4 linked regions of the Lepisosteus oculatus genome follow. The protein of the gene in region 2 purifies or fractionates together with the protein of the main gene of each other region. This does not show direct contact. Links are inferred from orthologs where the notes say so. Each region holds a gene or a part of one and is shown on either strand. Other genes may lie near its edges.

Region 1 (6,932 bases), on a different chromosome or scaffold from region 2:
AGCACTGACCTTTGAACTCCGAACCCTGCTGAGCCTGACACATTGGCTGATTGATTGACAACAGTAGGGCAGGACATCCCCCTCACCTGGCAGCGAGAGGACAGGAAATCATGAGGCATGATGGAGGGAGAGACTGAATGTCAAACAGACGCAGAGATGAATAGACGTCCTCTCAGAGAGAGACACATGGGCTGACACACAGAAACAGACCTGAAACAGAGCCCAATTCAAGTTCAGTGGCACCTACACATCTATCATGGCCAGCAGTCAGGACACTGGGGTCAACACCCCTACTCTCACTGACAGTGTCCTGGGTCTGTAATGACCAGCAGTCAGGACACTGGGGTCAACACCCCTACTCTCACTGACAGTGTCCTGGGTCTGTAACGACCAGCAGTCGGGACACTGGGGTCAACACCCCTACTCTCACTGACAGTGTCCTGGGTCTGTAATGATCAGCACTCAGGACTCTGGGGTCAACACCCCTACTCTCACTGACAGTGTCCTGGGTCTGTAATGACCAGCAGTCAGGACACTGGGGTCAACACCCCTACTCTCACTGACAGTGTCCTGGGTCTGTAATGACCAGCAGTCAGGACACTGGGGTCAACACCCCTACTCTCACTGACAGTGTCCTGGGTCTGTAATGACCAGCAGTCAGGACACTGGGGTCAACACCCCTACTCTCACTGACAGTGTCCTGGGTCTGTAATGACCAGCAGTCAGGACACTGGGGTCAACACCCCTACTCTCACTGACAGTGTCCTGGGTCTGTAATGACCAGCAGTCAGGACACTGGGGTCAACACCCCTACTCTCACTGACAGTGTCCTGGGTCTGTAATGACCAGCAGTCAGGACACTGGGGTCAACACCCCTACTCTCACTGACAGTGTCCTGGGTCTGTAATGAGCAGCACTCAGGACTCTGGGGTCAACACCCCTACTCTTACTGACAGTGTCCTGGGTCTGTAAAGACTAGTTTTACTCAGTACCTGAAAGCTGAGCTGATATGACATTTCTTTCAGACACAGATGCCCTTGTCTCAGCATCCTGACCACAGCTCTATACAGTATTCCATACAAAGGCTTTACCAAAACTACACAACAACACCAACAAGAAACGAATCACAGAGGAGTTTTGTTGTGAACATAGGTAAGGCCACAAACAAGAGTAAACCCTCCTCAAGCCATGAAGCCCTTCTGACTGTTAGTAGATAATAGATTGATAAGCTTCCTCTCGGTCAGCTGATACACAAACGTAGTCTTCAGTTTCGCTGTTAAGCGTGTGATGCTCAGATTGACATGAATACTTCTCCCCCCTCTGATCCACTCTCTCCGTCACTTAACTCTCCTCCCTGTAACATCAAACTCTGGTGGACGTTCAAATTCCCTGAAGCAAAATAGTGACAAAACCAATTTTACTGGTGGGCAGCGAATGTCAGCTGGAAAAGCCGGAGAGCTTCACAGTAATGGCAGAAGGCTTCTCCACGCAGGCAACAGCCCTAGTCCAGAATCTGGGAGTCTCACTTGATCCTCTCCTGACCTTTGAGCCTCATGTGAAAAATCTAATAAAGACATCTTCCTTTCACATTAGAAATATGGCCCGCATTAGGCGATTTCTATCAGTGTCTGATGCTGACTGCCCGATTCATGCATCTATAATATCAACTCCAATTCTTTACTCCTAACACTCTTCTCAACAAACTGCAACATGACCAAAACTGCAGCTAGACTACCAGCTCAAACCAGACCCTGGCAGCATTTCACTACTACACTCACGTCTCTACATTGGTTGCCTATAAAGTCACGTATTCAACAGAAGATCCTGTTACTGACTTATGCAGCTCTGAATGATCTGGCTGTATCATACATCTCCGAATTTCTCCATGTTTGCACTCCCTGCCATAGGCTCTGTCCAGTTTGGTCTGATCCTTGATCACTGCTCCCGAGATTAAATCTTGGACTTCTGACCCTGCCTTTTCTGTCGCTGCTCCAGTGGAATACAGTAGAATGCAGTTCTACAGCGCAGACAAATTCTCTGCTCTGACTCTTCAAATCCAGACTCAAACCCCATCTCACCTAGGGCCTGTCTGATTGCCTTAAAACCTGTCTGTATGAAACTGTATGTTCTTCTTTATTTTTTTCATTTGACTGTTTTTTGTCTTTTTCTTTATCACTATGTACAGTGCCCTTGGGTTTGGAAAGGAGCTTTATAAATAAAAACTAGTATTATTACTATTGCTGATACTCAGCTGAGTAAATTACTCCTGCTTCAGCAGCATGTACCACTTTTAGTGATGATATTACTACAAGGCTGCTCACAGTTCTCCCAACACTGGATATAACAACAGAAATAATATCTTACAGATTCTGCATCCAGGATCTTCCTGTCACAATTCACTCCAGCATAGCAGCCCTCAGAACGCCTCTGCACACTTTAATTAAAACACTCCTGCTTCGTTAGCCGAGATTTAACCACAGGGGCTGACGTGCCAGGAAACGTCACTCATGCGTCATTCTCAGGTAATAATCAAGTGTTAATTACACTGAGTTACACAGAATTCTGGATTCACAAAGACCATCTCCTCACTATCTGCCCCAATCAGAATTCCAGTATTTCACTGTGTGTGTTAAAACAGTACAGACACTGACTGGACACTACAGGACATTAACACTGCACTGAGAGAGAGGGGTTAATACAGTCCAGACACACTGACTGGACACTACAGGACATTAACACTGCACTGAAAGAGAGGGGTTAATACAGTACAGACACACTGACTGGACACTCCAGTACATTAACACTGCACTGAGAGAGAGGGGTTAATACAGTCCAGACACGCTGACTGGACACTACAGGACATTAACACTGCACTGAGAGAGAGGGGTTAATACAGTCCAGACACACTGACTGGACACTACAGGACATTAACACTGCACTGAGGGAGAGGGGTTAGTACAGTACAGACACACTGACTGGACACTACAGTACATTAACACTGCACTGAGAGAGAGGGGTTAATACAGAGACTGAGATAGAGGGGGAACTGATCTCTGAGGTACTAATAAAGAAATGTACGAGGTGAATGCTTTGGGATTTCATAATCAGCAAAATGTTCATTTCATTAGCTTAGTTGCTAACAAACAGCAGTCAGTGTCTGCTATTGCCTGCAGTCACCTTTCGTCCCTGGAAAGCGCAGGGGTAATAATTACTGTGATGGTGAGCAACAGAACCCAGGTCCAAGGTTCCTGTGGCAATTGTGTTCACCACGGTGTAGGAGAGGCACTGCTTCTGGGGATCAGCACAGAGACGAGTAGTGACGTTCTGTGGATTGAAGGAATGTTCTACTCTGACAGTCTGAAGGAATTGATTATCTTCAGTATTGAATAGAGAAGACTATGATGGGACCCTAAAACACACAGTCTCCTCTTTACACAGGGGGTGGTGGGGGTGTGAAACAAGTGGCCGAGCCATGTTGTTGAAACCGATACCCTGACTTCTTTCAAGAAACAACTGGTTCTTTACACTAAGGGTTGAGGGAGTGTGGAACAAACTGTCCAATTACATTGTTGAAGCCAATAACCTAAATTAAATAGAAAAAATGGCTCAATGGATAGGAATAATGGCCTCCTCTAATTTTTAACCTGTTTCATGATGTTATGAAGACAAAAAGTGCAACAAAATAAATGTGCCTTTCTATAACAATTCTGTAACAAAAAGTTGTTTTGACTCAAGATTGAGTCTTAGGTTTCTTTTCAACAGCAGGCATTCACCACACTCACTTTAGTCCTTTTTCGAACTACTTAAGCTAATACAGTGGGAATGATTCTCCAAAGAAAATGTATTCTACCTTACGTCGGCATTTTGACACACCCAAAATGGCGGACACCGCTGACGGCCGCCATCGCCCTGTCCAATTACTTCTTCCGTTCTGGCGAGAACTTCCGGTAATGTCCGCTGTTCTGGTTGAGGAGGCCAAATAGCGACAGGTTGGTGACTTTGTTGACGCTTTTGCAATTTTATACCTTTTAACACTCAAATCTGACCGTTTGAATCTCCCTGACAAAAAAATTATGCGACTTATGCATGTCGAAGAGCTCAGGAAACGGCTTTGGAAAATACCGCAGCTCGGTGTTTTTAGTGACATAACCGGCAGATGCGCTGTGAGTCATTGAACAGTCCTTGAGTGCTCTGCAGCAATGTCAATGTTCTGCCTGTCACTGCTTTCAGCTTTTAGTTTTCTGAAAGTTCATTCTATCGGGTTTTCTACTGATATCTCTATCCGAAATATGAATTATGATCAGCAAGGCAACCGTGTGTGAGTGTGTGCCGGTATAGTACAGAGAGACTGTGTGTGTGATTGTGTGCCGGTATAGTACAGAGAGGCTGTGTGTGTGAGTGTGTGCCGGTATAGTACAGAGAGACTGTGTGTGTGATTGTGTGCCGGTATAGTACAGAGAGACTGTGTGTGTGATTGTGTGCCGGTATAGTACAGAGAGGCTGTGTGTGAGTGTGTGCCGGTATAGTACAGAGAGGCTGTGTGTGTGAGTGTGTGCCGGTATAGTACAGAGAGGCTGTGTGTGAGTGTGTGCCGGTATAGTACAGAGAGGCTGTGTGTGATTGTGTGCCGGTATAGTACAGAGAGGCTGAGTGTGAGTGTGTGCCGGTATAGTACAGAGAGGCTGTGTGTGATTGTGTGCCGGTATAGTACAGAGAGGCTGTGTGTGTGATTGTGTGCCGGTATAGTACAGAGAGGCTGTGTGTGTGAGTGTGTGCCGGTATAGTACAGAGAGGCTGTGTGTGTGTGCCGGTATAGTACAGAGAGGCTGTGTGTGAGTGTGTGCCGGTATAGTACAGAGAGGCTGTGTGTGAGTGTGTGTGTGAGTGTGTGCCGGTATAGTACAGAGAGGCTGTGTGTGAGTGTGTGTCGGTATAGTACAGAGAGGCTGTGTGTGTGTGAATGTGGGCCGGTATAGTACAGAGAGACTGTGTGTGAGTGTGTGTCGGTATAGTACAGAGAGGCTGTGTGTGAGTGTGTGTCGGTATAGTACAGAGAGGCTGTGTGTGTGTGAATGTGTGTCGGTATAGTACAGAGAGGCTGTGTGTGAGTGTGTGCCGGTATAGTACAGAGAGACTGTGTGTGAGTGTGTGTCGGTATAGTACAGAGAGGCTGTGTGTGTGTGAATGTGTGTCGGTATAGTACAGAGAGGCTGTGTGTGTGAGTGTGTGCCGGTATAGTACAGAGAGGCTGTGTGTGTGTGAATGTGTGTCGGTATAGTACAGAGAGGCTGAGTGTGAGTGTGTGCCGGTATAGTACAGAGAGGCTGTGTGTGAGTGTGTGCCGGTATAGTACAGAGAGGCTGTGTGTGTGTGAATGTGGGCCGGTATAGTACAGAGAGGCTGTGTGTGTGTGAATGTGGGCCGGTATAGTACAGAGAGGCTGAGTTGTTGATGGGGTCTCCTGTTTCTGTTCTAGACATGATGTCTGCAGCTCTGCGTGTGCTGTACTCAGCCTCTCGGGCAGGTAAGACTGACTCACACTCCTCTCAACAGACTGACGGAGAGGCAGTGATCGATAACGAGACAGGTCCGACAGACAGGTAAACTCACAGGTGGACAGGTCCACCGATAGAGAGACGGACAGGTAAACTCACAGGTGGACAGGTCACAAGTGGACAGGTGTATGCACTTGATTGGTAGGTTTGTCTGTTATTATTTTCTTGTAAGTTTACTGTTATTGTTTTTCCCTTATTTAGGCAGGGTGTCTGTCTGTCCCATGCTGGTGCGTCCCTTCAGCCTGTCTGTTCACAGAGAGGGATACAGTGAGTACCCTTCCTAAGTCTTCTAAGTCTTATTTCCTGAGCTCTGTACCTGTACTTCATTGGCTGTGTGTACAGTATATAAGCTTGTCGATATCCATGTCCCTCTGTCACTCTTGAGATCGGAATGTGAGTGCTTGCACATTTGTCTCTCTAGAGTATGTCAACGCTCAGGAGCTGCCCACAGACATGAAGTCAATCACAGACAAAGCTGCTCAGACCTTGTTGTGGACAGAGCTCTTTAGAGGTGAGAGCCCCACTTTCCCTCTCAGTGCAGTGTTAATGTCCTGGAGTGTCCAGTCAGTGTGTCTGGACTGTATTAACCCCTCTCTCTCAGTGCAGTGTTAATGTCCTGTAGTGTCCAGTCAGTGTGTCTGGACTGTATTAACCCCTCTCTCTCAGTGCAGTGTTAATGTCCTGTAGTGTCCAATCAGTGTGTCTGGACTGTATTAACCCCTCTCTCTCAGTGCAGTGTTAATGTCCTGTAGTGTCCAATCAGTGTGTCTGGACTGTATTAACCCCTCTCTCTCAGAGCAGTGTTAATGTACTGGAGTGTCCAGTCAGTGTGTCTGGACTGTATTAACCCCTCTCTCTCAGTGCAGTGTTAATGTCCTGTTGTGTCCAGTCAGGGTGTCTGGACTGTATTAACCCCTCTCTCTCAGTGCAGTGTTAATGTACTGGAGTGTCCAGTCAGTGTGTCTGTGCTGTATTAACCTCTGTTTCTGTCTTAGGGTTAGCAATGACTCTCAGTTACTTGTTCCGGGAGCCAGCCACTATAAATTACCCATTTGAGAAGGGTCCACTCAGCCCAAGGTTCCGTGGTGAGCACGCCTTGCGCCGGTACCCCTCAGGAGAGGAACGCTGCATTGCCTGCAAACTATGTGAGGCCATCTGTCCAGCCCAGGTACTGTTCATAGTGTGTAGTCAATCAATGTGTTAATCTTGTACTGTATTAACCCCTCTCTCTCAGTGCAGTGTTAATGTCCTGTAGTGTCCAGTCAGTGTGTCTGGACTGTATTAACCCCTCTCTCTCAGTGCAGTGTTAATGTCCTGTAGTGTCCAGTCAGTGTGTCTGTACTGTATTAACCCCTCTCTCTCAGTGCAGCGTTAATG
Region 2 (7,368 bases):
TATAGTATTTCAATTTATACAATATGGTTGCTCAAAGTTCTCATAATCTATAGTATGGTTTCAGTACAAAAATGAGGGGGGAATTGATATCAGAAAATAAATCGTCAAAAATAGAGTCTCGGAGGTTTATTTCTGGATATAATAAGTTCGCTGCCTGGTTTTACTCGCATTTAACTCATCCGTGGACACAAGAGTGACCTCTTCCATGCACGGGTATTCAATGTTGGTTTTGTTTGTTCCTTGTCACTTTCCGTAGAAAGTTCGGCTGTCTGACCATAATGTTTCACGGAGTGCGATAAAATTGTATTACGAAGTGAAATATGGGGTCGCTTGTTTTATGTGCGTTCAGAAATTTTAAACTGGAAAACTGTGCTCACAAACCTTCAGCGGCGCCTTGACCAAAGGCATTATACAGCAAATAAAAGAAATTCGAAAAACATCAGTGAGCAATTTGGCATTGACGAGGTTGTGTAACGTGTAGTGCATTAAATGGGTTACACAGACACAAGCGATGTTTTTTCATAGACAATTGTGATATTTTATCTCATGTACTATGCTTAAATAATGTTTCTTGTCGTACATACAGTCTTTTGATAGCCACTGTATGTATCACATGCTGCATAAATAGTTAATTCATGTTTGCCTTCTACCACCTTGAGGTTAAGAATACTTAATATTATTCTACTGGGTACAGGAACACTGATCTCTGACTGACTAATCTGCATTTTTGGAGAAGGCATACAGTAATATGTGTGGGACATGCAGCAGAGACGTGTTTTTCTGCTTATTTTTCCTCATTATATTCTTGTGGCCATAACCTTGCTCATGAGATGATTCTCTTGTTCATGTTTGTGTATGTTGTTTTCTGTGTTTTCTATATTGTCTGCTGCTGTAAACAATTGCCCATTCGGAATACTAAAGACATTTATTCCCTCGCACTTATTTTCCTCTTTCTTACATGTTGTAAACTTCTGGTGTTTCAATTCTTGCAGAACCCGATGAAGACAAAAATTCCAAGTAAAAATGAAGAGGAGTGCAGGCCTTGCAAATCCCGTGTAGTGGGAAACCCCTATGGCATTTTGGACATTAAAGACATCCCAAAAGGAAAACTGTCCATTGTGGAGGCCTTGACCGTCCTCAACAACTACAAACACTCTCCTAAATCTTGGACACCTAATAAAATAGCCCAAGAGTACTCTTTAGACTTAAAGGATACCAAGGCACTTCTGGAATTCTTCATTCTCTTTGATGTTAAAATTATACCACCAAAGACTGAAGACAAGAAGCAGATAAAAGCTAACTAACAGTCTTCATCACTGATCTGTTTTAGAAATATTAATGTAATCATCCTGGACATTTGTACAACATTGCTCAGGCTACAAGATGCAGTTCCTTGATTGGTTTTAAACGAGATTAGATAAAAATGATTAAGGAATAAAAACAATGTTGTAAAGATTCATTTTATATTTCATTTTATATCTGCCATTCTTGTATTGTAAAAGTGCTTGTATTTTTTGTGGTTGAATTAAACTTCATTATGTGTTGCTTTGTATAAGAAGTAATCCATATTTTAATATTGAATTAGTAAATAGCCACGAGCAACATATATACACAGGCTCTCGTCTTTTATTGGTTCATCTTTAGTCTCTTCTCGTCGATCCCAGATCAATTGAAACTGAATCTTTTATTCCCAAAGGCTTGTAAATGGAATTATTTAAACAGGTAGGCAAACAAACTTAATACATCAGAAGTCAGAAAAAAATATAAAATGCATCTTTTGCTATATTGAAATTAAATCTTATAAACTAGCACTGCTAGTTACACAAACCATTTTGAACATTTATTTTCTGAAGTGGTCTCTGCAGGTTTGGTGCTGTATGAAAAAAGCATGCTACGAAAGCTGCTACCTTATAGAAAGTTGCTATTATGTTATTGTTTTATATTAATTTCTGCAGTAGTTAAACATTTGCATTTTACAATGCCAAGATGATATGACCACAGGGTAAACTGGGAAAATATAGTACAGAAATTGTAAACAAACTGTCCTTGTAAATCAGATTTTTGTCCTATAGGCCTCTGATATTTGATATTTCTGTCAATTAGCAAGTAATCTTTTCTTTTCATAATACTGCTTGAAGAATGGTGTTGACTGTGACTTAACATATTCATCACAGGAGCATTGTCATCTAATTTTGAGGTGTGGCTCAATAATAATTCACATTCTTTCTCGTTATTTGCTGCCGCCTTCTGGTAACGCCTATTAACACCACTTGAAAGTTAGTGCTGAATACAGTGACCGTAGTGATAAACTCTACCAAAAAAGTGTTTGAACTCACGGGGACAGTGGGTCTGTAAAAATATATTTTTTTATTTAATTAAAAAAAACATTTTTTTATTTAGTCAACAGCTGCACTATTTCCTTTTATTGATCTACACCAAACAGCGAATTATTTCATTTCTGTTTTATATGGTTATTGGTTTGCTAAGCCAATTTGTGAGATCTGTGTTCACTAGCCTAAAAATCGAATTTAAACAATCTTAAAAGACAGACACATCCCCTAAACTAATAAAATACATTAACTGGCTTCCAGGAAAATTCTCCCGGTGTGAGTGTGTGTGCCCTGTGATGGACTGTCGCGTCCGTCCGGGATATATCCCTCTGTGCGCCCTTTGGAAAGGCTCTGGCTGCCCTTGCCCTGCTACCCTGAATTGGAAGAAGCTGGGAGCGAAAATAATTCTATATCTTTTTCTTATGGCCCAATATTTTATTTTTTCAAGATCCCCCCCCCCTCAAGTTACATATATTTGAAGTAAAAAAAAATATTTCACTTGAAATCGTTCCTCATTATTTTCAGTGCATCCATCTATCCATTTTCTAACCGTTTCATCCAAATACAGGGTCGCAGACACAGACATGCAACACACTCACGCCGGAGTATATGAGTATGTCTTTGGACTGTGGGAGGAAACCCACGTCGTGATCATGGGGACAGGGTGCAAACGCCATGCAGCATCTCAGCAATTTAACCCAGGGCCCCACCGTAGCGAGACAGCAATGCTAATGTACTGCACAGAGGAAACGCCCTACACAGTCATTTACAATTAAAATATATGTGCAAACGAATAGTTGCCGTTTACAATTGACAAACCTGCGGTGTCCCGAATCCTATCAATCGGTGATATTCTGAAATATTGTTTACCTTACAGATTATAATGTTGCATTTTATCGTTACTTATTAGCAGCTTAACAAACATCTGTTAGGTATAGTATTTCAATTTATACAATATGGTTGCTCAGAGTTCTCATAGTCTATAGTGTGGTTTCAGTGGAATTACAAGAATGGTAATAATAATAAACCTTATTTTATATAGCGCCTTTAAAGGTGGCTTATCAAAGCGCTTTACAGAATGACAACGACAATAAATTAAAAGAATACACAAGATAAAACACAATTACAATATACAGAGGAGACCGTGGATGGGGTAGTAGGAAAAGCAGAGGGGTGAAGAATGGAACCAGTTAAGTAAATGCTCTTCTAAAGAAGAAGGTTTTGAGTCTGGATTTGAAGGAGTTCAGAGAAGGTGACTCTCTGGTATCCTTGCGCAGAGAGTTCCAGAGCTTGTTGGCATAACAGGAGAAGGCCCTGTCGCCCATACAATGTAGACGGGCTTGGGGGACAGTAAGGAGGGCAGAATTTGAAGAGCGAAGGTTCTGATGTGGGGAGTAGGGCTATAATAGTTTAGACAGGTACTGAGGTGCCAAGCCATGCAGAGCCTTATAGGCGAGCATGAGGATTTTAAGGTCCACACGGAATTTGACAGGAAGCCAGTGCAAGGACCCCGGGATAGGAGTAATGTGATCACTTGCACTATACCTCGTCAGGATTCTGGCTGCCAAATATTAGACAAACTGGAGTTTGTTCAATGTGGAGTTAGATACCCCAGAAAGTCGAGCATTACAGCAGTCAATTCGAGAGAACACAAATGTGTTGATCAGCTTTTCACCCACAGTTAGTGACAGCACAGGGCGTAGTCTAGCGATATTTCTGAGGTGAAAAAAAGATGTTTTGACAATATGCTGCACATGTGGGTCGAATGTTAAGCCAGAATCGAATATCACCTCAAGGTTTTTCAATTTAGACAGAAGCTCAAGTACAGACCCATCTACGAATGAGGAGGCTATTGATATAAAAGAATAAATCGTGAAATACAGAGTCTCGGATGTTTATTTCTGGATATATTAAATTCGCTGCCTGATCTTACTCGCATTGAACTCATCCGCTGTGACACAAGAGTGACGTCTTTTATGCACTGGTTTTCAAGGTTGGTTGTGTTTGTTCCTTGTCCCTTTCCGTAGAAAGTTCGGCTGTCTGACCATAACGTTTCACGGAGTGCGATAAAATTGTATTATGAAGTGAAATATGGGGTCGCGTGTTTCACGTGCGTTCAGAAATTTTAATCTGGAAAACCGGGCTCACAAGGAGATAAGCAAATCCAAACCTTCAGCGGCGCCTCATCACCCTTTGACTAAAGGCATCATACAGCAAATTAAAGAAAGTAAGTCGAAAAACACCAGTGAGCAATTTGTCATTGACGAGGTTGTGTAACGTGTAGTGCATTGAATGAGTTACACAGACACACGCGATGCTTTTTCATAGATAATTGTGATATTTTATCTTATGTACTCTACTTAAATCATGTTCCTTGTTTAACATTTAACCTATTTAATGTAACGATATTTATTCTTGAAATATCAACATCATGTCAGTGACATTGAAGTCTTAGTAAATTTATTGAATATGCCAAGAATTACCAGTAAATTCGATGACCATTTCCCTTACTAGAGTATCGATTTAGATTTGTTAAGCTTTTTGCGACATCGTTAAACTGAAACAAGAAGAATTTTAAGTCAAGGGGTTTTATGTAAACTGAGCTGTGACCTTGTACTTAAGAATGCAGTATAAATGTGTGATTAATATTTAAATTTTAAAGTATTTTGAAAGGAAAATATTTTAACATTAACTAGGTCCACTTCCTGCAGTTGTACTTAACTAAACGAAATTTTAAACGAGGTATTCATCTCATACATGGTATAATTGTACATGGGGCTGCACTTGATGTACTGTTTTTTAATTGTTTTTATATTGGTTGGTCAATTCTGTAATTACCTGAACATTTGGGATGTTTTCCATGGGGGTAACCTAAAGAATATACTTAAGGGAAGTTCTGTCTTCACATTTCTGTAAAAAGAAGCAAAATGAGTTAAGGCTCTTTTTTCTTGTACCTGTTCTAACAAGGGCAGTATATTTTGTGCAGTGGTTAAAACTGCTGCCTCGCAACACAGGGGCCCTGGGTTCAATTCTGGATCTGGGGTGCTGTCTGTGTAGAGTTTGCATGTTCCCCCCCGTGGGTTTCCCAAGGATTTCCTTCCACAGTCCCAAAACATATTGGTTGGTTAATTGGCATCTGGGAAAGTTGGCCCTGGTGTGTGGGTGTGACCAGGATATGTCAGATTTTGAAAGCGTAAAGGAAAAAGCATATTTCCAAAACCCTCATCTATGTCTAAGGCTTCTGTTTCGCAAAGCTGTAGCAAAGCATAGCAGATGGTAAGTGCAGCACTTCACTTTATAGTTTGGTAAATCTATTGTGTTACAGGTGTGAAATAATGTCGACTCTAGAGAATAAACGTCAGCTTTAAAGACAAGAGAATTCTAGAAAATAAAACCTACTTAATTGTTTTCTTTCTCACTTGTTGATATAGATCCTGAGGCTACTGAATCCATCAATAAGAAGAATGAGCATCTTTTGTCATTACTAAAGACAGTATATGTGGAGTCAAAAGACCCTCCCCAACAGGTAAGAACAGTTTTGCTGGAATGCTTATCCCAATGTGAAACAAAGCCCTGTTCACTTTTCCCAGACAAAATATAGCCAGGAGCTCACAGTCTCCCTTGATTAATTAACTCTTGATTCCCATTTTCCCCCAATTTATTCAACCCATATGAATAATGTATTATTAATAATAAATAATTGCTTACACTTTTATAGCACTTTTCTGAACACCGCACTCAAAGCACTTTAAAGTTAATTGGGATCCCGTCCACCACCACCAGTGTGCAGCCCCACCTGGACAGCAGCCATAGTTCACCAGTACACTCCCCATGCACCAGCTCTCAGTGGGGAGGAGAACAGAGTGATGAAGCCAATTTATAGATGGGGATTATTAGGAGGTTATGATTGGTCAGGGGCAATGGTAAATTTGGCCAGGACACCGGGGTTACACCCCTACTCGATTCGAGAAACACCCTGGGATTTTTAATGACCACCGAGAGTCAGGACCTCAGTTTTATGTCTCATCCGAAAGGACGGCTTCTTTTTACAGTATAGTGTCCCCATCACTATACTGGGGCATTAGGACCCACACAGACTGTAGGGAGAGCACCCCCTACAGGCACCACTAACACCTCTTACAGCAGCAGCCTTAGTTTGCCTCCCATCCAGGTGCTGACCAGGCTCACACTTGCTGAGCTTCAATGGGCTGACAGCTGTGAGTTGCAGGGTGATATAGTTGCTGGAATAATAGTATTGTCACTTTCAAAAGTATTCTCCCCCTTGATTTTTTAGATTTTGTTGCAATAAGAAATCAATGGGATTTTTTGCCATTTATTGACACAAAACATTATAATTTCAAAGTGAAAACAAAATTCTACAGCTCTGCCTATATTAATTTAAAAAATAAAACAGAAAATAACTGATTCCAGCAGTATTCACCCCCCTTGAAATCAAATAATATTTGTTAGAGGCACATTTGGCAGAAATTACAGCTGCGAGTCCTTATTTGATAGCCAGTGTACAGTATGTATCACTTCAATTGTTTATTAATGTTTGCCTTCAGCCACTTTGAGGTTAAGAATACGAAATATTATTGTACTGGGTAGAGGATCACTGATTTCTGAGTAACTAATCTGCATATATCATAATATATGTGGTACATGCAGAAGAGGTCTGAGTGATATTCTGCTTATTTTTCCTTATTATTATCTTGTGGCCATAACCTTGCTTATGAGATGATTCTCTAGTTCATGTTTATGTGTGGTGTTTGTTTTCTGTGTTTTCTATATTGTCTATATTTTCGATATAGAAAAAATGCCCATTGGGATTACTAAAGACATTCATTCCCTCTTTTTCTCCTCTTTCTTACATGTTGTAAATTCTTGTGTTTCAATTCTTGCAGAACCCGATGAAGACAAAAATTCCAAGTAAAAATGAAGAGGAGTGCAGGCCTTGCAAATCCCGTGTAGTGGGAAACCCCTATGGCATTTTGGACATTAAAGACATCCCAAAAGGAAAACTGTCCATTGTGGAGGC
Region 3 (7,844 bases), on a different chromosome or scaffold from region 2:
GACACAGTGACATTCTCACCTTATCTAACCACAGTGGGTGCTGATTGTCTTGTATTCTTCCCCGGCTCGAGAGAAAAAACTTTGAAAATGGAATCTGGAAAGGAAACCAGTTCATTAAACTTGTAGAAAGGACTGAATGTACATAATGATTTTTATTCCCTTAAGAAAGTCTTGATCCCAGTTCTGTACCTATAGTTATGGTCCAATTAAACCAATAATGAGTCTGATTTAGGTTAAGAGCCCAGCTAGAGTGAAACATACTAGTACTAGAGCACCAGGATTAAGGACCCCTACCTTAAGGCTTTGTGCAAGTCACAAGCTAATGAAGTATATATGAAAAGAGTGAATTAATTTTTAAAAAGCTTGACTGAACAAATCCAGGTATAGAATTTAACTCCTCCACTAACAAATGGAAATGAGACCAAATGATTGTAATCCTCTGAGATGTGTGCGTCTTACCTTGACATCCTGCCAGAAGGGTCCGCCGCGTGTGAACAGGAAGTAGTTGTACATGTCATCTCTCTGGTGGGAGAAGTAGGTCTCGGTAGCAATGTTAATCATCCACGGCCGCCCGTCTCCGCGGATGCGCAGGTGCAGAGTATTAAAACTGGACCAGTCGTGGTGCTTCTTCCGATCAAAGGCATTCTACAGGGAAATATTTTTACCAGCATTACTAGGCAAACATTGCAATCCTGTCTCTTGCCAACGTGTCATTTAGGAAATTAACTTGGGCCTGTCTTGGGGGAACTCTATCTACCTCTCTTGAATAATTAAAATCTCATTTTTAATATATTCCAATAGCCTAGTCTGCCATATTTGCAGTTCAGAATATAGTGTAAATACCATGAAAACACTACTTAAGAAGTAGAGGAACTGATAGTAATTAAGATCATAATACGGAGTCTATGGCCAGTGCTAATGGCATTAAATGCCAAGGACTGTAGTGCCCTGAGAAGTCTAGAGAGGAGATAATACAAATACCTTTGTATTTTAACTGATAACTATTACCAACTCCCAAATCAATCAAAACATTGATGTAAATTCCCATAACGGCAGTGTGGCCAGACATTGCCCTTGACTACCAGACTGCTTGTGTGTACTGACCAGTGGCTGTCTGGAGCGCAGAGTGCAGTAGCCGCTGTACCGTGTCTCCCCATCTCTGGGAGGCGCTGTATACAGAGTGCCATACAGCAGGCAGGTTTGGTTGTTTCTCCCCAGCTTCAGGTATGCTTCACTCTTCCCTCCGATCTCCTGGTCCGAGGACACTACCCACTGTTCCAGGCTCTCTGGACCCCTGAATTCCCATAACAACTTTGTCTGTTCCAGCATATGCTCCCTGAGGCTCCTCCCCTCCGGCCCCACCCAGCGCTCCACCATCTCCTGCTTCAGCAGCCCAAAATGCTTCTTCACGCCCTCCACCCCCTTGGGGAAGCTAAAGCGGATCTTCTTCCAAGGCGGCGTGTTGTCCTGAGGCTGGCCTGGTCTCCGATAGCTCTGTGCAGCCCCTCGCGTAGACACTACGCCCCAACACGGGGGCGTGAGCCTGGAGCCCAGGCGACACGCACCGAGCCGGGTCGATGTGGACAGAGCCATCGTCCGTCAAGCGAGTCCGTCTACACTGTTGCAGCCGGCTTCCCTGCAGCACGGGCTGCAGCTCTACATGTGCTGAAACACCGATCTAAAGAGGGGAAAAAATGAAAAATGCTCCGGCATCCCTAATCCCTGATGTCCTGCACACCACTGCAAGGGCCTTATGATTCTACCGGAGAGCATGATGAAGCCTAACGTACTAGTAGCAGCACGGAAGCAGGAGAAGTGATGAGTGCAGTCTTACTATGTTCTCCAGTGCACGAATAATTCGACTGTTGGCTTTCTCTATACTTTTAGAGAAAAATAAATGGCGATAAAATATATATTTTTTTAAAAAAATAGGGAATTCTATTACTTATGTTATTGTACTGCATTCGAGAAGATGAAAAAAAAGAGTCTGAACAAATGTCATAATGTGCATGTCTGCTACCATTATTTCTACATATTAGTTTCAGGTTTTACTACATCAATGTAACAGCAAATGCACCTTTTGGCCTCGGAAAGCAGACTTGAATTGAAATGAATCGGCGCACGTCCAAAAAGTTTTAAGATGTGGCTCATCCCCGTTTACCTGCACTAGAGTGTGGAGAATAGAGCTGGAACTATGTATACTTCACAATCCGACGTTTACAATTAATAAGGATTTGTCCAAAGTCTAATTTATGTCTATGTGAAGTAAGTTTCTGGAGTGTCCAAAAAAGCGATATATAAGTATAAGCAATTATTATTAAGTGATCTTTCCTGAATAAAACTGGCGTCTTTTAACTGAAATGATCCCCTTAAACTTCGTTCTGTATGCACGTTACGCAAATTGTCTTGTAAATTAACCTAAAACCTTCAGGTAAAGATGAAAAAATATAGATACCAAAAATAAACAGCCCTCTTTCCATATACTTACACTATGAAAAATATGCTACCTTGATAAACGTGCCTCCACTATACTTGCAGCTTGTTTTTCAAGTACAGTCCGTCGCGACAACTCGTCCCCCGGTAACATTTTGCAAGCACATTGAGTTCCTAAGCCTATAACTACTGTTACGAACTACTACTAGTGAATCTGAGATTACATCTATATATTGACTAATAATTGCACTCCTTAATAAGTGGTCAAATGTAACAACATGCGATAGGCTCCAGTCATATCCAGTATCACAGTGTCACTTCTATAAAAACAATTTCATTTAAATTAAAAAGTAACACCGTATTATTACATATCTACTGTACTAACTAAAATACGTATTTAAAGAGGTATCAAGAATTCACATGAGTCAGTCAATCAACAAGTAATATTCTTTAACATCTGCTTTAGAAAGTATTATTTTATAACATTCCTACCTGGAAAGACCTTCTCAGTCTGTCCTACTGATCACGATCGCGTATCACACGTCACGGGTGACGTCTTACGACAGGTCCCAGCGAATGAAGCGTGAGATCGCAGGCGCCCGCATGCGCAGTGGAGCTCCAGCGCCTTTGTGTGCTGCAGAGGGGGCGCCTCTCGGCTCGTCTTTATCCCGACGCAGCGCCAGGCAGCTCCGGCCTCACAGCAATCATGGTGAACGTGAAGAAGCGGAAAGGACGGGTCGTGATTGACTCCGACTCCGAAGACAGCGCTAGTGACGATAACCTGGATCAAGTAAGAACCTCTTTGTCCTCTGCTCTGCGCCTTTTGGGTTCGATCAGTTCTGGAGACAGAAACCCATCGCGCCACAGGCCCTCTTGCATCCTCGGATTCAGCTGGGTCTGTGCAACCGAGTCTAGTGTGCACGAAGTCGCCAAGACTTCTTGGTGTTACCCTAGCGCAGACACCTAGTTTTAAAATAAAAGACCAAAAGCATGGGCCATCACGGCCGGAATCCGTGTGAAATGCTCTTTTATTATTGGCAGAATTAATTTCGGACGGGATGCGCACGAAATTAACGAAAACAGTAGTAAGAGGTTTGATCTGTAGAAAGCGTGAGTGTCGCAGTGTAAATATGGACACCGAAAGCCATGGATATGGAGACATTCAGCTTGCAAAAAGCTCAGGTTTGCGTGTGCTGGAATTAGTGTTTATGACGGCGCTGAAAGTAGCTTGTATAGGAAGCGGAACCAGGTCAGTAATAGGAATTTGTTGGCAGTAGAGGAATGAAGATTGTTTCGCACCTTCAAGCCGAGATTCTGAGCTCGGATTGACGGTCATGGGGTTGCTGCCGGCTTGCTTGGTCCAAAGACGGGCAGTTTTGGTTAGTTGCTCTGTTAAAAAAAAACCCGTGCATGCGGATTTTCACTTGGGTGTTTACTGTGCTGAAAACAACCGGTCCAAATAAAGCATTTGGCGGGCTGTTGGAACAGTTAGCGGAGGCTCGGAATAACTGCTTTTCGGTGTTAGGCTGCCTTGTAGCGTGCTGGGACAGCAGCAATGCTAAGCATCAGTTTGTTGGGCGTTCTGATGTAGTGCAACATGCATTGAGGGCTTTTCATCTGCAGCCAATCAAATGATGTGATAAACCCGAGTTTCTAACATTTGATGCATTTATTACGAGCTCGGAGTGCCTTAAGACAGCAGTGCACGAACCCGGGCAAGCAGCAGCGGTAGGCGCCAGGTGTGCAGGTCACTGTACAGGAGGCAAGTTCACAGCGCTTGCCCGCTGCTGCTCCAACTTTCGCTTCGCCTGCTGCGAGCTTCTGTAGTCTTGATGTTCCGGGCGTGAGAGGATGCGGGAAGTTTTTTTTTTAATTCCCCAGTGTTTTGGCATGAGAAATCAGTGGTGCTGAATTTCTTAAGGGAAGCAAGAACGCTAGTGCATAGCGATGCATGTTTTTTTGTGAAACGTAAATCGTGAAAAAGTTTACTGCCTTTTTTTTGTAATTGTTCAACCTGTACAACTGCACGCTGGTTTTCCTCTTTGCTTTTAATACTCGTTGTAAGTTAGTCATCATTGCACTGTGTTACAAGGAACACATTCTGCGCTACTTTGAATTCTGATTTATGTCGTACTGTCCTTTGCCACTTCTGAACGTTGTGAGCATCACCTTGAAAAAAATGGGCCTATAATGGGAAAGCAGAAAGCTCGCTGAATTCAGGGGCTGTTACTTTTTTAATCGCATAAAGCTGGAAAAAGTCTGTGGGTATCTGTGGTTAAATTAACGTAATTTTCGATTGCAAGCCTCTGCCTTATATTCAGCAAACAGCAAAGAACTGGTTGGTAAATTAATCTTTAAAATGTACCCATGTCTGAACATTTCTTTCAGGCAGGCTACAGTCTGTTTTTCTTTTAAAAAAAGTTTACCTTCCCAGAAGTGTTTCCTTCTATCTTCATGTATTTGGTGGTAGTTCATGTTAATGCAGATAAGACATTTGGTATTGTAGTGTACCTTGTAGATGTAACCACCTGCTCAAAATCAACAGTTCTCCTTGTATTGAAACGGAATTCGTTTTTGCTTATGTCTGTGGTGCCCGGTTTTACCTTAAAAGAGCAGATTTTTTGTGTGCTTCTTTTTAGTGTAGAGTTGTGTGTGTATATATATATAAGAGGATTTGCTTTAGAATTTGTCCATAGTATTACGGTAGTACGGAGGTGAAAATAAATTCTGGAAACAGTAGTAGAAACAAGCATCTAAAATCTAAAACACCCACCCCCCCGCAGCAGGAGAGGCACTCCTTACTCATGGGCACAGCAGGGACTTCGAACCCTGGACACAAGTTCAGAGTCAGATCTCTGCTCTGCATCACATAGTAACTGAATAGAACTCAACACAATTGTTCTGGGATTTATGAATGGTGCCTCTGTAAACTTTATGGATGGTAGTTAACTATTATTATTGTTATCAACAGTGAGTGGGAGTTCATCTTTAACTTACCACAAGATTGTCAGGAACTCAGGCAGGGTGGCGATGGCCCCGTTCTTTACAGCTGACCCCTGTGGGGATACCAGTTTGCTCTGACAGGGACTTCCTGCCAGATATATTTCCATCTGGCTTAGCATGCATCACAGAGCCACAAGCAGCAGAGGGACATCTTGGGCAGAAGAGTCTAGCAGGTAAGCCTTTGGCCTCATAACTGTCAGGCTGTGGGTTCGAGTCCCTATTGCAGACACTGCTGTTGTAGCTTGAGTGAGGTACTATACCCAAGTTGCCCTAGTCCACACAGCTGTATCTGTGGGGGGGGGATCTACATTGCTGAGGGTGGTGAACTGCTGTCCTGATGCAGAACCCAGGATGGGCTGTGGCCCGACGAGCTGGTGGCTCTGGAATGGACTGAAATCATGCCAAACACAAGAAGAATGCTCTGTTGATTCAACAGCTCGTATGTAGTTTAACATACAATGCTGTAAAAAATTGCTTTGGCTCGTATCTCACGTAAGGAATGGGCTAGCACCACTGTTAAGCTAGTGGAAGAACTGGAAAGTTTAGTGTGAGCAGTCATGACATGTTCAGAAAGTACGTAAAGCAGAGTTCAGTCAAGCTGTGTCATTACACTGTATTTCCAAACAATAGGTTTGTGGAAGTAAAAATGAACCCTGGTCAGGATGCCACACACAACCACACACTCACAGCAGCTAATTAACCTATCAGTATGTGTTGGGACAGTGGAAACGAGGGGAAACGTGAACATAAGGAAAGCTCCACACAGATAGCACCCAGGTCTGGAATTCAACCAAGGGCCTCAGCACTGTGAGGCAACAGTGCTCAGCACTGTGACACCTGAGGCACAAACCACAACAGTGAAATAGTTATTCTATATATTGTGTTGAATTTAAATTGTGATTTTTGTGAAAAATTGTAAAATGCACCAGTATGGCCTAATTTGGTGTCAATTTTTGGTCACCACATGATAAAAAAAAAGGAGCTTTGTAATAGGTCCCGAAAAGTGCAACGTTTTGGTCTGGAGGGTGAAGGAACTGAGCGATTGAATGGTAAAGATGTCAGGGAGACTAGATTTTAGTATCAAAATCATCAAGAGCATCATCAGCTCAGCAGACGTCTTCGATGGATTTCTTTGCAATATATGACAAAAATGATCCAGAAGACAAAAGTAGAAACTATGTGGAAGTGCATTTAAAATCGCGAGCAGGAGAACCCTTCTTTACACAAAAAGTTGTAGGGGTCTGGAACGAGTGCCCATCCGTGTTCTTGAAGCCGATACTCTGGCTCTGAGATGAGATCCTGGGATTGATTAGCTCTTGGCAACCAGAAAAGCTAGATGGGGCAAATGGCCTGTTTTCTTTTGCATCTGGTGTCTTCAGACTGTGTGTTCAGACACCTGAAAAAGTCAATATGGGTTTTGAATATTTTAAAGATGTCCCCCGACATGTTATTAAGTAGTCTTAACATTGGCGTTGAATAAGGCAAGTGGAGAACATAAGGATATAGTATATTTTATGGATGAGAGGTGAAGCTGACCTGACTGTCAGCACAGCGATACTGAGAGTATCGTGTAGTATCCTATACCTAAAGTGGTGCAGTATAGGGTAGTAATGTCAAAACAGTTTCAAAAATACTTCTGTAGTTGGCAGTGAAAGGTCTGTGACAGGGAGTTCACAAACCCCTAACAACACTAGAGCAGGGCCACGCCTCTTCTGTCCCCTTCCAGTCTGCCCCGTCACACAGTTTTGCTGCGACCTGCAACTTGTAATTATTGAAGTGGTAATTAGCGAGATCAATAGAGCAGGTCAGAAGCTGGTCGCAAGCAAAGTACTGCAGTGGAGCTGACTGGAAGGGCTGCAGATTGAGTAGCTCTGTTCTAGACTTTGTTAAATTTATTAGATTACAGACTGGCTGAGTGATGGGGGTGTACAGCAGTTTGTCTCAGCACAGGATTGTTAGTTAAATTCGTACCTCTTATTTCATTCAGCCAGCAGTGAGGCGTAGTGCATTTGTATTGACCGCTCCCGAGCTGTGGGAGCATTAAGGACCCACTAGCTGAGCGAGAGGCAGCTGTGACGCAGGAGAGCCTCTAGCAGTGTGCTGGCAGCGAACAGCTGGGCAGTGCTGTGTGTCACAGGAACCGGGCACAGTGGGGCACGGGCACAGAGAGTGTGTGGCTGAAGCAGGCCGGGGCAACTGAGCGTGTTGCTGGCGGATCCAGGTTCAAAACCCGAACCAAGCGAAGGTTCGGAACTGAGGAGACACTGTAGCGAAGCACAAGGGCGAATCCGGGGGTCGTGATAGAGTATCGCGAAGGATGGCGAGGGTGTGATCTGGAAAAGCAGTCGGGAGACAAAGCAGAACACGGGAATAAAGACCGAGGCGGTGCTCAGGGGCTGCGTTTGTGA
Region 4 (7,948 bases), on a different chromosome or scaffold from region 2:
AAGCATGTGCAGTGTACTATGAGCTTCCAAGGGTCCTGATGATTTCATAGCAGTATTTGTTTTTTAAATGTGTTTTTAATGCCTGCCGTCATTCAATCAAGAATGTGTTAATTCTTTACGTGAGTACATGAAGCCCAACTGAGACCACCAAACTCTTTCTCCTGCTCATAATTGAATTCAAAGTCACTGATCTTATATGCTGGTTAGCCAGCTATACAAAAATATGTTCTGCTCCTGTCCCCGCTAGGTGGGATTGCAAATTTAGCCGTGAATGTCACTTTAATCTCAAAGTTTCTTTTATTCCATTTTTACATTTTGTTTTTGGTCTGAGCCGATTGCTCTATATGAGGGTAGGGCGTCTCCCATAAGCTCCTGTGAAGAGTTTTTGATCAAATGCAGAGCAGCTCAGCCAGAACCACATACTACGAGAACAATTTCAGGCCCTGAGAACACTGGCAAAAGTTAGTACATTCCAAATCTGAGAAGGGTATAACAGAACCACTAGTGTGGAAATTGTGATTCCTGGAGATTTGTTATGATAAACTTTACCAAGATTGTGTAAAACCATGTTGTAATCAAACAGACTACCAGAGATAAATACAGTACAACAGCCCTGACTTAACCCCTCTTGTGCTGGTATTATTAAACCAGTTCTTCTGCCAGACAGACGTTTACTCTTTTCTCTTTGCATTAAATGTTGTAAAAGAAATTAAGAACATTAACCACTAGTTGAAAGAAGATTACATTGATTATTTTTTAATATTTTTTTTTAATTATTATTTTTATTTAACTGAAGATTAAAGTGGTGTTTTAGTCTGGTGACATAGCTAAGAGACAAGATATTGTTACATACAGTAAGATACTTAGGTTGATTAATAAAATGATACATCTCAGTATTCATGTTTTATGAGTATTTTCATATTTATGTTTTAAGTACTTTAAGTGCATATATTTCCCATCTGTTTCTATGGGGTTTCCAGTTTTCTAGGGAGTAATTTTTTAAATATTTTAGTTTTTATGTGTTTTCCATCTAGCCATCTATCCCGGCAACCAACTGGCCCAAGGCAGGGTACCCCTTGGATGGGACGTTTGTCTATCATAGAGCAGACACACAGACACAAACGCACACTCATACCTAGGGCCAATTTTCCTACAAAGACAATTAACCTACCAGTTTGTTGTAGGACTGTAGGAGGAAACCAGAGTACCCAGGGGAAATCCAGGCAAACATGGGGAAAACATACAAACTCCATGCAGTTGGCAGGTCCCTTTCACTGTCCATTCTGAATAAATATGCAAGGTTATCTTTGTCAGTATATTCTGTCATTTAATGTTATGTATTCTAGCAGACTGTTTGCCATTTTAATTCCTTTCTCACATTGTGTAGAAGATGTAAATAATGTCTCAGAAGACACCTGTATGCAACTTTTTCATAGGTTACCTCTTCTTTCGCAGTGTTTCCAATTTTGTATTAAAAACTTATTTTTCTTTACTGGATGTAAAATCCCACACTTGTCTTCATTAAGCATTATTTTCCAGTTGTGTTCCCAATCTTTACATTTTATTTAAACCTTTTGGAATTTAATTTGCAGGTTTTACAGTGTTTGCCAAACCTCCTTAAGTGGTATCATCTACAAATAATTGATCATTGATATAAATTAAGAAGCGTAGTGGTCCTAGTACAGATTCCTGTGGTACTCCATTACGTCACCCCATGTTGTGTTTTCACACTAATGTATATCCTCTGTTTTTTTATTTAATAACGAATTTTCAATCCAAACACTAGTGTGTCTCCAAGTGTCATTGCATCAACTGAGCACTTGCAATTTAAGAGTTAATTTTTAATGAGGAACTTAAAAAAAAAAACTTCTGGAAATCTAAGTACACTGCATCATATACTCAGTTGGAGCTAAATTTGCAGTGCTTCAAATTTATTTATCATTCTTTACTGATTTCATATCTATCCCATTACATTTTACTTCTCATAAATTTGGTCTCATTCCTTCTAAGTCACCTTTCTAGATATTATAAATTTACAGTCTCAAAATATACCTCAAAGCACAATGATCACAGTTCCCTCATGGTTCTCTCATTTCTTTTGCACATAAATTCTTCAATTCGTTATGTGGTGTGGCCTGAGCCTAACCTGTGTATCATGCAGCAGAAATGTGTTAATGTGTCATACATGACTTTAATTGCTTTGAAAATGAATTATAGCACAGCTTTGCAAAAGCAGCAAGGTGCTGCAAGGTGCTGGTTTTGAGAAATCAGGGCCCAGATTTCTAACCAGGCTCTGGTTAATATTAGCATCCGAAATCATCCGGCACCAGCTCGCCTGCTGAGCGAGTGTCTGAAGAGATGTATGTTGCACTGTGAGGATGAGTATCCTAGACCTGGGAGATGAGGTTTAATTTGACAGGCTCATCTGAAAGGTGTTTAATCACCATTGCTGCCATAGTCCAGCATCACACGTCATCCTGATCACAGGACTGCCTACCTGTTAGCAATTTTTACAGCCCTGTTATCCTGTAGACATGAGGTGGGCGAAGCGATCTTCCAACCTTACATACTGTACTAAACTCCCTGCATCTCCTCCTTCTCATTCTGCAGGTGTCAGTCTTGGCATTATCGTATGAATAAACGCATTACAAGAGCAACGAATGCTACTGGTGCTAATGCTCATTTATTGCATTTTAATGCCTCTGGGTATAAATTTGTGTATTGCTGCACATGGTACAACATCAGTTCCTGACACTGGCACACATAGATCAGCTCAGCAATCAATATAGAATTCCATTTATCACTGTCTGGAAGGATCCCATAAAGATAATATACTGGCTAAGTTAGTTCCAGGCTCCCATGATCCTTTTGTTTAAAGAAAGGACCCCTGGGGCATATAGTAACTCTGAGCTGACCTACTGTAGCTACTGCCTTTTGGGATTTGGAATACAGCATAATCTTTTCTGTTCCAGGCAAAAAGTCTGACTCCCTTAATTTGTCTGCGCATGAGACTGCCTTCAGTAAAAAGTTAGTTTGGTTGCTCTCTTTTTTACTGCTCTAGAACAGCAATGTCTTGATGAGTGGTGACCGGAGTATACACTGTACTCCAAGTGAAGTCTAATGCATTGTATAATTTAACCTGACACCCCATCGATTCAAATAATACATTCTTCCTATATCAAAGTTTTGTTGGCCATTTTATCGTTTCTCCAAAGTGCCTAGCTGAAAAAAAAAAAAAGTTAACCTAAACGATCTTGCTCGGGATTTCTTCTTCCAGTTCGGTGCCACCTGTCAGAAACTTGAATTTTGTGTTTATAGTCATGCATGTATTAACATACTTTTATCCATTCAGCAGCACAAAATGAATGACAAACTTTTATTTCATGTCTGTTTTATCCTCATTCTCTTTTCAAGGCGTTATTTTGACTTTCCACGATTTTCATCGATTTACCTCAAACTAGGTCACTCGCTCTCGCGTCTTAAGCTCATTTTATATCCCTGTAGTTTCGTCCTCCAACAATAGGTGGCGATCTAATTATTTTCTGCTTCATATCGCGGAAACTTTCTCTTTAATTCTGACAACAAGCTTTGACATTGTGGGTTTCCCCGAGAAGCTGTTCTGGATAAGGTATAAATGTGCTTGAGAACGTTATGTCTGAATACATTCGTTAAAGTGTATCTGATTAAAGTTTAAAATCAATTTTCTTAATATCAGCGAATATGAGCCGTAGATGTGATGCGACTTAAGTGGTGTATAATATTTTTGTCGCTGTATAAATGTTATTTCAGGTACACAGATAAGTAGGTCGCTCTTTTCACACACATGCTTTAGCTTTCTAAAGTCCATTGTATTTGCTTCCGATTATTTTAAAGATAATTAAGCTCTTGCACCGGTAGCATCGCCTGTTCTTAAATTCCTTTCTGAAATGTATGCTAGTGGAACAGCTAATATCAGTATTATTAATTTTATACGTTCATAAATACTATTTCTATGGTGAAAATGAAAATTTATGCAACCTGTACATTGAGCTATAGTAGCATTTTTGTCATAATTGTAAAATGTATTACTAGTATAACCTTGAATTTTAAGTGGCCTGACCTTGACTTCCAAGTGTGTTTGCGTCTATATTATTAATTTGATTGAATACAGAAATACGTCTTACATTCTGCAGTATATTGAATTGAAATTTGATTACAGCCATTGCTTGAATTTTAGCCTATCTGTGGTGTACAGGTGATGCAAATTGAAGGTGTCTCATACAGTTGTGTTAGAAATATAAACAGACTAACGCAAAACAAACTTTTAGATGATGGGAAATTTTCTCAACTTTGAAGCACGATATTTCTCAGATAAGGTATTGCAGTGTTGTATGTTAATATTTTACAGTTTTGTTTTTTGATTGCTTTACTGCATATTGATAAGGTAACAAAATGAACTTGAATACATGTTACATTTGCTGGTGGGGAAAAATGATAGTAACAAAAATTAATGATGCACAGGTGCATTTCAGTAATATACAAGTACATTATTAACCGGTTTCTGTCTCAGCTGCTGATAAATACATTACAAATGATAAACTTTCTGGAAGAAATACATTTGTTTTACTTATTTTTAAATCCCGGAAGGGTAAGAATTAAAGTTTAAAAACATTCCAGAAGTATTTTGCTTTACAACACCAGAAGTCCAATTTCTAAAATATTTGGTGTATTTCAATATTTGTTTGTAGTCTTTCATAACAAATTAGAGTTACACACATTAGTTATATTGCGCTACAGAGTTTCATCTGTAGTGAAAACACAGATTTTAAGTTTGGGAGAGAGAAAAGGGTTCTGAGAAATAAGGCTGAGAAAGCGATGATCTTATGTTTTAGTTCAGAAGAATGTTGTTTTAGAACAGTATAAATATTAAACGAGCAATAACAATAAGCCAGTGACAGGGTTGGAATGTCCTCGGACCATGTCACAGAACAACTTCCAGGTGAGTGGGATAAGGCCTAACTCTTAGAGAGGTGAGTGTCTCCCAGGCAGGAGCTGTCCTGAAGTGGGTCAATACTGTATGTACAGTAAACCTCTTTGGGATGAAAAGCACAATGTCAGTTCCCGTTCAAGTTGTGAGGTGGCTTTGTGGCGTTTGTGACTCATGGTTTTGTTTGTGAACACCTGCCTCTCGGTGTAAAGAGATTGTGAACCAGCCAGCCCGTCCAACTAGTCCTGATATTTTTAATAAGAATCAAATGCAAATCACTGCACTCATGCGCAGGTGATTGAAATACCAGACCCACACCATTCTCAGCGGGAAAAATAAAGACGCTTAAGGGTATCCTCCTATCCGTCTGTGCTGGGTAACATTACTGCAGGAGCTTATTAAGAAACGTATTTGTCGTGAAGGGCTGTCTCATACCTTCACCTGACCTCCCAAGAGAGGAGGTCTTTCACACCTGTGGATACTGTACTGTGCACACATTTATTCATGTGTAGGTTACTCACCTGTGCATCTTGTCCATGCCATCCTGGAACTCACTGGGAGACGGGGACAGTATTGTTAGCATGACGCTGGAGCGGGGAGCTGAGTCAGCTGGCTTGGGCTGCAAAGGAACCAGGAAAGGTCAATTTAATACTGTGAAGTTGAAAGTAGAAACCGGTTGTCTGTCCAGCCTTCTTTTTTCTACTTTGCACAGTGGATGTAACCTTTACTTGTTCCTAAGCATTATTACCTTATTCATAATTCTTATATTGACATTATTGTTATTTTGAATTGTTTCTTGTTGTCTTTTCATATACATGCTTCCTAAGTTTATGTATTAACTGTTGTTGTGGATCCACAATCAGTCCGTATTGTTGTGTTTGTTGTTGTCCTGTCCATTGCACTGTTCCATGTTGGGTTACGGACCCCCAACCCACCTCTGGTTTTAAATAGGTTTTCAGCTATCCATCAGGGGGAGGTACTTAACCGGGCACGCACAGATTCACAGTCAGTGATAGTTTAGTTCTAGTCAAAAGTGTGACTTCAACCTTAAGCAAGCACACCTTGTCTTTGTGCTGTTCCCCAGCTCAGTTTTTCATAAAGCCTGTTAGCAGTGCTAATAGTTTGGCTATTACCTACGTTTCTCCTGTTTTTCTCACTTTTGTAAATATTTTTCTGCAGTGGAACACATTTGTGCACTATGACTGTGGATGCCCCTGTCCTGCAAGGGGGTAGGTTAGTCACATTTACAGGTATTATTCATTCACCTTAATGGGTCCCATATAAAGCGGTTCTTAAGAGATCTTTTATTTGTCCTATTACACGAGCTTCTTAATAAATCCTTAGACGTTTCATATGTACATTTGTATACACATACCTTAATCCTTAATACACAAACATCAACTAGGCATCCTTAATCCACAAATGCTGCAGTGAGTGATGATGCCCTCCTTCAGGAGTTTATGTTCAGGATTTTAAAGAGCCATGTGGTACTTCAATAAAACTGACTGGAAGATAATCCTCCTAAGTGCTTCCCTTCAGATGCACCCCTCAAACAATCCAGCGTTCTACTTAATGGGTCCCATATAATTATTTACATAATTAGATCATTTAAACCTCATCAGAAATGTTAACAGAACTTCTAATTAGGTTTGGCCAAATCAGCATGGGGTGCATTTTTATTCCAGCCATCAGCATAGCTAGGCCACCCAACAAGGAGACCATTGACAGAAAGGCTTGTTAACATCTGTGACACATTAGGATGGACTGTATCCTATGGTTAGAGAGTGTGAGGAGCACAGACGTGCTGTAGGTTAAATAAATCTTTTGCTTACACTGACAAAAACTCAAACAGCAGCTTTAATGAAATATATAAGATGTACAAGCAAAAGCTACGTTTAGCCTTGTTGTGAAACAGGAATGATTCCATGTTGGTAAGATGGAACAAAAAAAAGTTTTTTCTTGGTTCTCCAGCTCAAATGGGAGTGATATTATAAAAGGCTATTTACTTCGAGTCTTATTCCATCAGCCGTCTGGTTGTGCTCAGTTTGTGCTTTTTTTCCCTAAACCCACCACCATCCCCCCCAACTTTGGACTTTTTTTCTCACTGTCTTTTTTTTTCTGATTAGACAAAAACAAATTCTTACATTCACTAAAACGAATTAAAACACGAGAGAAAAGATTAATTCAATAACTTCCTACTGATATTCTTAACATCCATGCCATTCAAGTTTGTCTCTAATGGGCCTCAAACATTCCTATACTCAATAAGTTTCCCCTGTACTGTAAATTATATGAAATCTTTTCAAATTTAACTTGTGATACAGCCACTTTAATCCATTCTTTGTATGACGGTCCTTTACTGTCCACCCATTTTCGCAGTATTATTTTTTAGCAGTAATACAGAGTCAAGAAAGTATTTTTATACTGAATTGCTGCTTTAACCTTTGATAAATCACCAAGGATACATGTAATGGGAGTAAGTGGAATTGAGATATTTAGGTACCTGAGAGCTTTCCCCACTGTGGAGGTTCGAGCTTGAACATTAATTACATTTTCAAGCTGCATGACATCCCTGAAATTTTCAGCCTTAAAAAAAACATCAGAAATGTAGGCTGACAACAGTTTGACATAGGCCCAGGGGCTCTGCTTGCCTTGAACACAGAACTTGGTGAAAGCCTGGGCGGCCCAGTGGAACATTTTTGAGCAGCAGTATTTATAATCTGCATGAGATGTCAAGTATTCATTTTAGAGTTAACGTGCAGCTTGCTATGCTGGTTGAGAGATGGCAGTGGAAGTGTTGTGGGAGTTATCTGCAGCTGTATGTTTCCAAAAGGCATAAAAAAAGAAGCTCTTTCATTGTGGCTCCTAACTGTGTTACAGGCAGACTGGGGCTGCTGCGGTGCGATGGATCGCCAAGGGCTCCCAGCGAGCATGTCCGCATGTCCTCGACTTGACAAGCCTCCGCGGGGCTCCTCCTACTCC

The links.
Region 1: the proteins of NADH dehydrogenase [ubiquinone] 1 alpha subcomplex assembly factor 4-like (region 2) and ndufs8a purify together in Homo sapiens (co-immunoprecipitation; 3 studies listed by BioGRID and IntAct, with this or other methods). This does not show direct contact. The link is inferred for Lepisosteus oculatus from reciprocal best matches to the Homo sapiens genes NDUFAF4 and NDUFS8.
Region 3: the proteins of NADH dehydrogenase [ubiquinone] 1 alpha subcomplex assembly factor 4-like (region 2) and ndufaf1 purify together in Homo sapiens (co-immunoprecipitation; 3 studies listed by BioGRID and IntAct, with this or other methods). This does not show direct contact. The link is inferred for Lepisosteus oculatus from reciprocal best matches to the Homo sapiens genes NDUFAF4 and NDUFAF1.
Region 4: the proteins of NADH dehydrogenase [ubiquinone] 1 alpha subcomplex assembly factor 4-like (region 2) and timmdc1 purify together in Homo sapiens (affinity purification with mass spectrometry; 3 studies listed by BioGRID and IntAct, with this or other methods). This does not show direct contact. The link is inferred for Lepisosteus oculatus from reciprocal best matches to the Homo sapiens genes NDUFAF4 and TIMMDC1.

What each region holds. Positions count from the first base shown.
Region 1 is NC_090701.1:42,437,914-42,444,845, forward strand, and holds the start of ndufs8a (NADH:ubiquinone oxidoreductase core subunit S8a), read left to right. Parts: upstream 1-3,915; 5' UTR 3,916-3,989; intron 3,990-5,476; 5' UTR 5,477-5,478; coding exon 5,479-5,524; intron 5,525-5,756; coding exon 5,757-5,822; intron 5,823-5,976; coding exon 5,977-6,066; intron 6,067-6,550; coding exon 6,551-6,723; intron 6,724-6,932. Other genes in the region: red-sensitive opsin, read right to left, coding at 10-86.
Region 2 is NC_090697.1:6,378,066-6,385,433, forward strand, and holds the start of NADH dehydrogenase [ubiquinone] 1 alpha subcomplex assembly factor 4-like, read left to right. Parts: upstream 1-4,358; 5' UTR 4,359-4,421; coding exon 4,422-4,557; intron 4,558-5,761; coding exon 5,762-5,856; intron 5,857-7,234; coding exon 7,235-7,368. Other genes in the region: ndufaf4 (NADH dehydrogenase [ubiquinone] 1 alpha subcomplex assembly factor 4), read left to right, coding at 321-389, 993-1,304. UniProt on the Homo sapiens protein: Involved in the assembly of mitochondrial NADH:ubiquinone oxidoreductase complex (complex I). May be involved in cell proliferation and survival of hormone-dependent tumor cells. May be a regulator of breast tumor cell invasion.
Region 3 is NC_090703.1:20,233,969-20,241,812, forward strand, and holds the start of ndufaf1 (complex I intermediate-associated protein 30, mitochondrial), read right to left. Parts: upstream 3,019-7,844; 5' UTR 2,926-3,018; intron 2,596-2,925; exon of another isoform or gene 2,489-2,595; intron 1,679-2,488; 5' UTR 1,594-1,678; coding exon 1,105-1,593; intron 646-1,104; coding exon 460-645; intron 95-459; coding exon 20-94; intron 1-19. Other genes in the region: RNA polymerase-associated protein RTF1 homolog, read left to right, coding at 3,140-3,223. UniProt on the Homo sapiens protein: As part of the MCIA complex, involved in the assembly of the mitochondrial complex I.
Region 4 is NC_090710.1:18,098,613-18,106,560, forward strand, and holds the start of timmdc1 (complex I assembly factor TIMMDC1, mitochondrial), read left to right. Parts: upstream 1-4,942; 5' UTR 4,943-4,957; coding exon 4,958-4,978; intron 4,979-6,159; exon of another isoform or gene 6,160-6,174; coding exon of another isoform or gene 6,175-6,195; intron 6,196-7,846; coding exon 7,847-7,948.